2 linked regions of the Caenorhabditis elegans genome follow. The protein of the gene in region 2 purifies or fractionates together with the protein of the main gene of each other region. This does not show direct contact. Each region holds a gene or a part of one and is shown on either strand. Other genes may lie near its edges.

What was found. Proteins that work in one complex are often made in the same cells at the same time.
Region 1: the proteins of str-57 (region 2) and Y48G1BR.1 fractionate together in Caenorhabditis elegans (co-fractionation; one large-scale study listed by BioGRID). This does not show direct contact.

Annotation. Positions count from the first base shown.
Region 1 is NC_003279.8:253,766-260,869, reverse strand, and holds Y48G1BR.1 (SEA domain-containing protein), read left to right. Parts: upstream 1-1,712; 5' UTR 1,713-1,714; coding exon 1,715-1,763; intron 1,764-2,186; coding exon 2,187-2,322; intron 2,323-2,511; coding exon 2,512-2,849; intron 2,850-3,208; coding exon 3,209-3,452; intron 3,453-4,226; coding exon 4,227-4,554; intron 4,555-4,909; coding exon 4,910-5,052; intron 5,053-5,423; coding exon 5,424-5,500; intron 5,501-5,544; coding exon 5,545-5,675; intron 5,676-5,790; coding exon 5,791-5,894; intron 5,895-6,067; coding exon 6,068-6,161; 3' UTR 6,162-6,603; downstream 6,604-7,104. Other genes in the region: snpc-3.2 (snRNA-activating protein complex subunit 3), read right to left, coding at 6,741-6,924, 7,067-7,104.
Region 2 is NC_003283.11:15,868,762-15,872,941, reverse strand, and holds str-57 (Seven TM Receptor), read right to left. Parts: upstream 2,287-4,180; 5' UTR 1,773-2,286; coding exon 1,285-1,772; intron 1,188-1,284; coding exon 739-1,187; intron 695-738; coding exon 591-694; 3' UTR 544-590; downstream 1-543. Other genes in the region: str-56 (Seven TM Receptor), read right to left, coding at 1-369; fbxa-197 (F-box domain-containing protein), read right to left, coding at 4,003-4,180.

The DNA.
Region 1 (7,104 bases), on a different chromosome or scaffold from region 2:
ATTAGTGCGTCGTTGGTTTTGATAACTTCCTTACTTTTCCCTTCTCTTCACGGCGCAGCTATCACGGTTCAGCTACTAAGCGGCAAACGCGCTCCACCGAGCAATTCCAAATTTCCAGAGATAATTTTTTAACGTACATTTCATTTAGCACGTGGAGTCAGAAAGTCCCATTTCGCTTTGATCTTCAAAAAATGCGGGAGTTGAGACGCAGATCTCATCTGATTTTTTATGGTTGAGAGCGTGCGGACGTCACAATTTTTCTGGGAAAAAATGCCGGCATTTTTTGTAGATCAAATTGTATTGAGACCGCCTGACACCACGTGATTTAGAAGTATTAAAGTAAACTCAAAAACTTTAGGCCACTTGTGTGAAAACTCTTCCACAACCCCAATTTTCAAAAATCGTATGTGCTAACTGTATATATATAAAGTTATTGAAATGAAGTATTCACAATACATAGCATAGGAATGTGCATAATTCGGCGGCCCTCCTCGACCACGGCCGGATAATCCGTTTCAAGAGGTGTGCAGTGTAGTCACTCACACACACACAAATGTGTAAATAATAAGCATATACATAAGCAACAACAGACAAAACAATCACTTGCGCGCATGCCCAGGCTTCCCGGGCGGGCGGGCTGAAGGAAGGGGGTAACCCCTTTTGTTTTCAAAATATGCCACTTTTTACCAAGATTATGTCAAGCACACCATACGATACTTTTTCGATGGAAAAATAATATTTTATTGCCGAAATTTATTTTTCGAAAAATTTTGCTCAAAAATTTTTTTCAATAAAATCTGAATTTTTTAAGCATTTAACAAATGGTTATTACGGGCGCACAAAATTCTGAGAATGCGTAATGCGCAGCATATTTTATGCGCAAAATATCTCGTAACGAGAAGTACAGTAATTTTTCTTGATGACTACTGTAGCGCTTGTGTCGATTTACGTGCTCGATTTACGAAATGCATTATTCGTATTATTTTTTGCCTAATTTTAATATTTTGTCGGTAAATGTATGATCTTAATTCATTTTGATGCGCGTAAATCGACACAAGCGTTACAGTAGTTATTTAAAGAATTACTGTAGTTTTCGCTACGAGATATTTTGAGCGCAAAATATGTTGCGCAATACGCATTATTAGAATTTTGTGTTCTCATAATATCTGAAATGGCAGTTCAAAAATTTAAAACAAAATTCTCATTCAAAGATTACCCATGCATCTTTAAACTTGGAGTATCAAATTTTGTGATGTTTTTTTTTAGTTTTCTGGAAATTCATCCGTGCGCCTTTAAATTTAAGTAGGGTATATTAATTTTTCGACTTTCTCTTCAGTTTCCAGAAAAACTCTTAATGGGCACATAAAATTTTTAATCCAATTTGTCACCTTAGGTCTCGCAGCGAAAATATTTCAGAAATTTTTATTTAAAAAAAAAGACTTTTGCTATCGATTTTTCTGAAAACTGAAAAAAATATTTTACCAACTTTTTGCATTAGTATTGTTGCAATTTCTGTCAAATTTTTCAATCTTCGATCATCTTAACCAGTTCCACGCGAATTAATTTTGATTTTTCATTCCCAATTTCCGAAGGTCATTTTGACCTGATATATCATATAAATTTTCTCCATCTCTTTTTATCTTGTCCCATAAAAAATGAACACTCCGATTTCTGATTTTCCAAAACATAAATTAATTTTTGCAATTTTTCAGCGATGCGCATACCATTTGGTTTTATTCTATTCATTGCATTTTCAACGACACGTAAGTTGATGACCGATAAACTTCTAGTTCACGTTTACCAATTTTTTACCACCATGCAAATCCTGGTGGCTTAATTTTGCACTTTTCCAGACCGATCTGAAATGTTGGTTTTTAGCTTTTCTTGTGTGGCCTAGAAACCCTGGTGACCTAGGTTTACAAAATTTCTAGGTAACGGAAGAAACCTTAATGGCCTAGTTTTCCTGAGGCCATCATGGAAATTTTGCTGGCCTATTTTACCAAAATTGTTTAGGTCACAGTGCAAAACTTGGTGGCCGAGGTTTCTACTTTTCTAGACGCTTATAAAAGTTTTCGTGGGATAGCTTTTCCTCGCAATAAACCCACATGGTCTAGCTTCTCATTTCATTTTCTAGGCCAAAATGCAAAACCTGGTGGCCTAGAAAAAATGTAATTTAACTTTTTCAGTTTCCTTCGCGCAAGACGAAAATTCTGAAGATGTGTTCGACAAACCGCTGGCAAAAGACACAACGACACCCGTAATGCCTGATAATGATGATATGCCGATGATGGCTGTTCCGAAAGAAGAAATGATGAATGAGGGGTAAGAATCGGAAAATTGTGTGATGAAAAACTGTTAAAAATTTGTAAGGGAGTAGTCGAAAAGAGGTCTTGCCGATGTTTAGTAAACCTAGGTCAGCTAGTGAGAGCTGGAGGCCGAGGTTTGAGATTTCTAGGCCAGGAGGCCTAGTTTTCTCCCAGGCCACCACCAAAAAAATGTCATAACTTTCAGATCAGATACCTTCGAGACAAGTACAGAAATGATCGAACTCTCGCCGAACGACACCTCCCTAGAAGTGAACCCAATCCAGAAAACGTCCGTCTTCTCCCCAATAACTCCGCTTGACGGCGGTATGTTCAACTTCTCCCAGGCAACAATCGAAGATGATAGTATGGAGGATCAGGATGAATCCACTGAGAAAACAACTCTCGCCGCTGAAAATACGACTGAAATGATGCCAACCACTCCCTTGGAGGTGATTACGTTCAGCTCCCTTCCGATTGAGGTTGACGAGGTCGCTGATAGACGAGTTTTGAAAGAGAAGGAGATGACACGACCCACTAAACCAGGTGAGAGGTGGTGACGTCTTAGAGGGACGTCGGGGGAGCGCATGGAGTGACGTCATGGGAAGCCGCGCGGCTGCTGACGTCATACTTATGACTCAATTTCCCGGATGCTAATTTTCCACGAAACTGAAAACTTGAAAAATGATTTATTAAGCGACGCCCATAAAACGGGCAAACCCTGTACGGACACGCCCTTAAGTTGGCGGTAAACCTGGAGACACAGTTTTAAAATTGGTTGCTCTTTGGTTTACCAAAAATAAAACTTGCTAAAAGCGTGGCATTATAGCTGGTCGAAGAAGTGGCGAAAAGTATGACGTCACCAATGGCCGAGGTTTTTCTCTTCCAAATTTCCAATTTTACAGTGACCACAACCCAATCCACCGTCGCAGTAAGTGACCCATCAGAAGCTGGAGATGACGGAGAAACACCATTTGATCAAAGTGCACTGGAAGGACTTTTTGAGCAGGATGGAAGTGTTATTGATAGCTCATTGAGCACAGATCAGAGCCCCGCATTCCCAATTCTGAAAATGTCTGAGGAAGAGCCAAAGATTTTGTCGAATATCCCGAAAACTACGAAGCAGATGGTCGAGAGCACTACGACTGGGTGAGTTTTTTTTTGAGTTTTTTCGGAAGTTAAAAATTTTGAATATTGATAAAAAAATTTATTATTTTTTGTCGAAATTATTTTTTGTTCTGATAATATTCAGATTCTTCACAAATGTTTGTTTTAAAAAATTTGCAAAAAAACCGTTCTCACAGCTTTATGGGGTCTGCAGCTTCACCCTACCAACCTGCCGTGGCCTAGAAATTTTCGAGGTGGCCTAGTAAATTCAAAAATCTCTTAATTTTATATTCAAGTATTTTGATTGCAAAATTTAAAAGTGTAGAGCACATATCTGACTAGGGAGTGTTTTAACTATACGGTGCGATCGAGTAAAAGTAAACGTGTCATGCGATAGCTGGCATCTTAGGCTTTCAGAATCTGTAATTTGTTCCGGCGGAAGACCTCTGTGAGTCTGGAAATTTTCATCTGAAAATTTAGTACTGAAATCAGTGCATTTCCTATGGTTAACAGCTTCGAAGCGATGTTTTCGCCCTTCCACCATTGTGGTGAGACTTCTGTTGGCGCCAGAGACAAAAATCCACTGTTAACCATAGGAAATGCAGATTTCAGTACTAAATTTTCAGATGAAAATTTCCAGACTCACAGAGGTCTTCCGCCGGAACAAATTACAGATTCTGAAAGCCTAAGATGCCAGCTATCGCATGACACTTTTACTCGATCGCACCGTATAGTTAAAACACTACCTAGTGAGTTTTGCTGGTTCGGAAGTGTTCATATATTGCAGGAAAAAATTCAAAACTTCAAAATTTTCAGAATGAAATCCTCTTCAACAATGGAAACTACAAAAACTATGGAAACCACAATGGACACAACCATGGCCGAAACCGAGCCATCAACCCTCTCCACTGACGTCACTACCTCCTCCGAAGAGACCACCTCCACCTCATCAGAGGAATCCACGACTTTTGAAGATATTTCAACTGTGCCGGTGGCACTTCAAAACTCATCGAAAGTATTCCTTCCGGCTAAATCCATTCGAACACCAATAGTTTTTCGTATTATTTCACTGGAATTTGTAGAGGAATTCAACGATATTCAGAGTGGCCCTGCGAAGAGATTAGCGAAAGATTTGGTGCCAGCGGTGAGTCAAAAATGGATAATGGATTATTGACATTTGGGAAAAATCGATATTAAACTGATTTTTGAAGATAGTAGTTGAACCTGTTATATTTAAGAATTGCATGGCTGTTGCTCTTTTTTTTTTTTTTTTTTCTTTTTTTTAAAAGAAATTTTTCTTGTTTTCACTAAATTTTCTCTTTTGTTTTCATCTCGCGTGGCCTAAGCCTAAGCCTGAGCTTAAGCCTAAGCCTAAGCCTAAGCCTAATAGTAAGCCTTTGTGGAAAATTTTGAGTTAGACTTCAATATAGATTTAGACTAGTTATTTTAAAAATGATCTGAAAAAAATCAATTTTAAACAATTATTGATTTTTTTCCAGATCGGAGAATTCATCAATTCCATTTCGGGAGACGACAATTTTGTGAATGTTGAAATCAAGTCACTGACCAAAGGATCAGTGGTTGTCGGAGCCGACGTGCTCACCAAAAAATCACTTGGTGATGCTCAAATGGCTGTTAATTTGTGAGTTCTTACCGATTAGAAATATTTTATTACCATTTTTTGAGGAAAACTCTAAAAAATCGATTATCAACGCTATCGACTTTTATCGAAAAAAGTAAAATTTAGAAAAAAATATCGATAGTCAATTTTATCGATTTTTGATTTGTTCGGGGTTTCCGTAGGAATCGTCTATATGATAGATTTTTGAAAAATGATTAGTAAAATCGATAATCGATAATCGACTTTAGTTCAATTTTTGGAAAAAATTTAGATATTAACTTTTTCATTGATTTATAGGTTTTCCGGGGGAATATCAAGTTAATTGTATCAATTTTTCAAAAACTTTCAAAAACTTTCAAAAAAATCGATAATTGATTTTTTTAACATTTCAGGTTCGAAGCCGCATTTTCACGCAATAACTCTATGATTTCGGATTACAAGATTGATTCGTTGAGTGTTACTGTTGACGGTAAGTAATTATTGATTTTTTCCAAAAAAATCAATAATTTCCAGGAATGACGTCACAAGCGTACATCGATTCTATTTCCACGCAAACTTCATCATATTCCTTATCATCGCTGATGATTGTAATCATCACTTTCGCATTGGTCATCATTTTCGGATTGGCGATCTTCATTATCATGGTATGTGCCTTTAAATGCCGCAGCATGGCCTAGAAAACTCGGCCGCCAAAGTCCGTGGCCGAAGTGTTGTGTTTTCTAGGCCATGCGTCTTTAAAAATCAATAAATCTCGCTCAGATCACCACAAAACGGCGACGTCAATCGACGATGAAGCTGAGCATGGACGACACGATCCGTAGCAACACACCGGAATCCGACGACGCTCCGCATAACGTGCATTTGTGAGTTTTTCGTGGCGAGACCCTGAACAATTTTGAATGTTTTTTTTAAATTTTCGATTCACTCGAAAAAGTGGAAAAATCGATTTTTTTATCCAGAAAATTATTTAAAATTATTAAATTTCTGCCACCGTCCATTTTGTGGGCGTGTCATTGCCTCACAAAAAAATTTCCAGAATGTCATACGGAACAACGCCTAGACCATCTCAAAAGCAGCCGGGACCAATCACAAAAACACAAATCGACGAGACGAGCTCACCTATGTATTGATTTATCGATTTTTTTTCAATTTCTTAAATATCGATTTTTTTGGATTTTAAAAATTGATTTTTATGATTATAAAAAATCGATTTTTTTGATTTTTCCAAATCAGATTTATTGATTCTAGTGATTTTTAATCAATAATCAACAATATAATCGATTTTCAAAAAATCAATAAAATTTAATTTTAAAATTCAACATTATCGATTTTTCAAATTGTTCAAAATTCTTCCGAATTTCTCATCTCATTTTCTAGGTTACCTCTTCTCTCATTTAACCCATTTTTCCGACAGATTTTGAGCCAAGCTCCGCCACCCGCCTCGGGGCTCCCCCGAGAAACCTCTGGTGCGCGCCCTTTCTGTAAATAATCATTTTCCCGTCCGTTTCCCCCTACTTGCCATATCATCGATATATTCCGTTTATTTATTGGATAAATTTTTTTGCAAACAAAAATTTTATTTAAAAAAAAAGAAATTTGAAATTTCAACAAATATAGTTACAGGCCAAAAATCGGTAATTAAACAATCAAATCGAAAAACATTTAAAAAAAAACAACAAAAAATGATACAGACTTTTAAATCTCGTTCTCTAAAGATCGAGCTCGGTGAAGAACTGGCGTCCGTCGCCAATGTCCTTTCGATCGCAATACGGTACGGCCTTAAACTGGCACACTTTTTTGCCGTTCACGTCGAAACAGAACTCCTTGTAGCACGAAGAGCACAGATAGCCTGGCGAGTTGGGAAGCAGATTGTCGTGGTCGACGATCATCCAGCTGAAAAAATTGGATTCAATTGATGATTTTTGCCTTAATCGATTCTCTTTGGATTTTTTTTTCGAAAATTCGAACTCCGATAAAAACTATATTTTTCGGGGGTTTCACAAAAAATTCCGAATTTCTAAATGCTACTACTCACTGCGCCGACGCCTCCTTGCACGTGTCACATGCAATTCT
Region 2 (4,180 bases):
TCTGACTTTTGCGGAATGAAAGAGACATATGTAGCGATATAAAAATTGAATTCCTATGAATGAGATTATCAGGAGATAAAAAGTCATCCAAACCGAAATAGCAATCTCTAGAAAGCTCTTCGAAGAAATCCAATCATTAATACTAAACAAAATTAATGCTCTGTTGTAATTGTGAGCAAAGGGTCTTGCGATAAATTCTGAAAGTGAGAATAAAAATCCCAGTGCTGAAAACATCACGACCATTCTTCTATAGGCTCCTTGGATCTGTTTGCTATGGAATAAACTGATGTAGATTAAAGTGAAATTCGATATTGAACAGATTAGCAAACTTGTGCTTGTGAAAAAAATTGTGTGCTGGTGGTTGAACATTTTCTACTATGTATGAAAAAAAAGAGCAACAAATATGGTATTGTTGTGGCTGAAGTCGTGAAGATGTTTTTTATGACGTCTTATTTTTGCAATGCGTGTCTTAATTGGCATCTCATTATGATTCAGCGCCACCAAAAAAACCAAAGGCTGTGAAAACAATGAACATCGTTAGAATTGCAATTAAAAATTTATTAATTTTTCATCCTATGTATAATATTTTATTACGTCTCTGAAACAGTTGCAGTATTTATAAATTGAACTGCGCGAATTGAAATCCTGCTGCCAAACTCTCGAGGATACTTGTTAGTCTTGCAGAATAATTTACCTAAATTATTTTATCATAGAATTTTGCCGTTGCTATTTTCTCACTTCTAACATATTTTCGGTACTCGGAAACAATTAATATGAATGCGATACTATCAAATATTGGATAGAGTCCAATAAAAGAATATAGCCATCCAGTTTGCCAGTTAATCTCCATGTCAATATAAGGTGATAATAGAGTTGCCAGAAAGAACGGAGCAGATGGCAAAACCAGGAATAAGGTGGGACCAACGGTTTGAGTAACGAGAGCTTTGAATATTTGCGATTGGAATTTCACCTGGCACGCAGAGAATTGCCTCAGCTTCTCCTTCATTCTCAGGTGCAATTTGACCCCGAAAAATATTACAATAAAATATTGAATAATCATAATAGTTCCTGCTGCTATGAAAAGGGATAGAGTTTTCCATTGTAGCGTATTGGTATCACTATAAGGAATTAAGATGTATCGGGCAACTGTAGAAATTTCAAGATCATAGTTTTCTCGAATAATGTTTCTGAAAAGTTAATCTATTAATATTTAGTTAGTGAGCCATCGGTAAAAAAGGAAGCCTACGTAGGCCTAAAGGCGTTTTCAAACCACAACATACCTACCTCAGGTACTCATCGGAATCATCATTTGGTCTCAGAAGTTGATAAAATGCGACACAGTAGCATATCGCAGGAATCATTAAATAAGAAATCCAAAGTACTTTGCCAGATCCGTCGAAATACCTTATTTTTGTAGAATGGAAGAGACATAGGTACCGATATACAAATTGAATTCCTATGAATGAAATTATCAGAAGATAAAATGTCATCCAAATGGGAATCGCAATTTCTAGAAAGTTGTTTGAAGGAATCCAATCATTAATACTAAATAAAATTAATGCTCTGTTATAATTGTGAGAAAAAGGCCTTGCGATAAATTCTGAAACGGAGAACAAGAATCCCAACGTTGAAAACATCACGACCATTATTTTATAGGTTCCTTGAATCTGTTTGCTATGGAATAAACTGATGTAGATCAGAATGAAATTTGCAATAAAACAGATTAACAAACTAGTGCTTGTGACGAAAATTGTATGCTTGTGGTTAAGCATTATCTTCTATGAGAAAAGAAAACAAAATGATTATTGTGTGTTTTGTGAGTGTTCATTAGAAATATTTTTCTTGGCGAGAACACTAGCCGAAAAAACATGTGTCTTCTTTTTATGACGCCTGAATTTTTGGCGTCTCGTAATGACTAAGGATATGCAAATTAATAACATATTTAGAATCAAGACACAAAGAACATTTTTTAGATTTTGATTACAATTTTGTTTAAATTGGAAGAAATAGTTGCGAAATTCGATAAACTATTTTGCTCGTCAACTTAAATGTTCAGTCCGCAAACTGAAGAATTCGAAAACTACCGTACACCGATATAAAATTTTCGAAAATGTTGGCTTGCTTTTTTTGTTTGAAATAACAAAATAAAGCAACAAAACGTTGAAATTTTAATTCAGAAGCGTTCAAATTCGAAGAATTAATGAATTATTTAGCTTGAGCTGAAACAAAAAATCAAATCCCCTCATTCATTTCTAAGAAAAAAACATAATCCTGTAATGCACTTTTTATTAAATTAAACTAAACATTAAAAGTTGAAACCCGGTTTCAAGTCAGATTTACTAATGAATAACATATTTTCGCGAATGGTGACGTGAAATACTCTCTTGTCATGTGTTGTATAGCTAGTTTCGCGGTCTTCATATTCAGAATCTTCATCATATGCATCGTCGAACAAAAATGTTCCGTCCTCTCTATCGTGATCCATATACTTCGCAGCGATTCGAGCTTCCTTGAAATCGGGAGAATTTTCAATCATCTGAAAACGAAAAAGTTTACAAAATTCTAACAATTATTTTCAAAATCTTACTTACATCTCGTAATTTAATTGCATCTCCTGAACCGAATCTCAATAATTTGACGTCAAAACTATCGAAATTCAAAAAGTGATCAATCTCCATGAAACTCCTTAGCCATCTTCCATTGATTCATTCTGACGAGCTGCTTGTATCCAAAATGTGTAGGTTGAAATCCCGCTTCGAAAATTATTTTTTGCAGATTCTTAGCCGGGAAGATTGAAAGCAGAGAAGCGAATTCCGGAAACGATAGATTCGTCGATTTTATAGTTTTTGTCATCAAGCTCTTTGTGGAGTTTAGAATTTTCGTGATATCCTTGATGCGATTCTCGCGGAATCCATTGCCTTCTTCTTCTGATTCAAAAACTGTGAAACTAAAAGTTTTCAATTGAACCGTTCGATTTTCCATCAATAACTTGAGATCATTGTTGCACAACTCTACATAATTCTCTCCTCCGACAAATTTTTCCTTTCTTTCGTCTTCTCCATTTTGATAAGTAATCCTACAACTGTAACTATCCCGTGCGTAAGTGATTTTATGACGCCAATTTGAGACAACTTCACAACATTCTTCATCTTCCTGATACATCACAGAAAGATCTTCAATTCTAACATCGCTCTTCTGTGCAATTTTTCGAAATTTTCGCGATACCTTCATCAGGGCCAATCTGAAATTTTTTAGCTTGATATTCTAGTTTTATATAAATAAAAATTCCTACGTGTCGATGGAATCCACGTAGCCTACAATTTTTTGAATCACATTGATGGGCATGTCCGACATGGGAGAGGGAGCTGGGTCGAAGCTGAAATTCTTATTCATTATTTTTCAGTTATAATCATTTTTTTGAATAAAAATAATACCTTCTATCATAATGCAAATCGTGATTTCCGTGGTAAAATCTCCAATACCAAAAATCGAATTCATAAAATGTCATGACGTCTTTCCCCACTTTTCTACAGAAATTTTTGTACGATTCTTGAATCGGCTTCTTGTCGAGAGCTTCGTAGAGAATACATGCTCGAATAATGAGCTGATTTTCGCGTAGAGAGGTGGACATTTCAATTTATCGCCGGGAAACTGCTAAATCAAGATTTTGAATAAAAATAACTACATGGTTTGGAGGAAAAACGAAATTTAGCTCCTATTGACTTAATTTTAAGAAATTGGAACTGAATTTTAACGGAACATCAAAGTAAAAAACGTTTTATAAAAATTTAAAAAATCTGTAAGAAACTTTGCTCGTCAAATTAAAGGCCCGGTCCGCAAACACTTCACGTCCTTTCCAGACTACCGTACCCGCATTTTTTCGTTTAGAGAACAATCTTTTCACAAATATTATTGAATAAAATTCGAAAACAACAACAATTATAACTAGGAAAAACAACAAAAATTATAACTAGAAAAACAACAAAAATTAAATTAAACGAACTAGAAATCGGTAAAGTCATACTTTGGGTTCCAGTCGGATTTTTTAATATAAAGACTAGAGCGATAAAATCTGATATAGAAGAGTCGTTCATCAGATGTCGTATAACGAATATTGTATACTCCAAAAACTGGATCATCATCCGAGTCACTGTCACTATCGTCGGGCAAAAAGATTGAA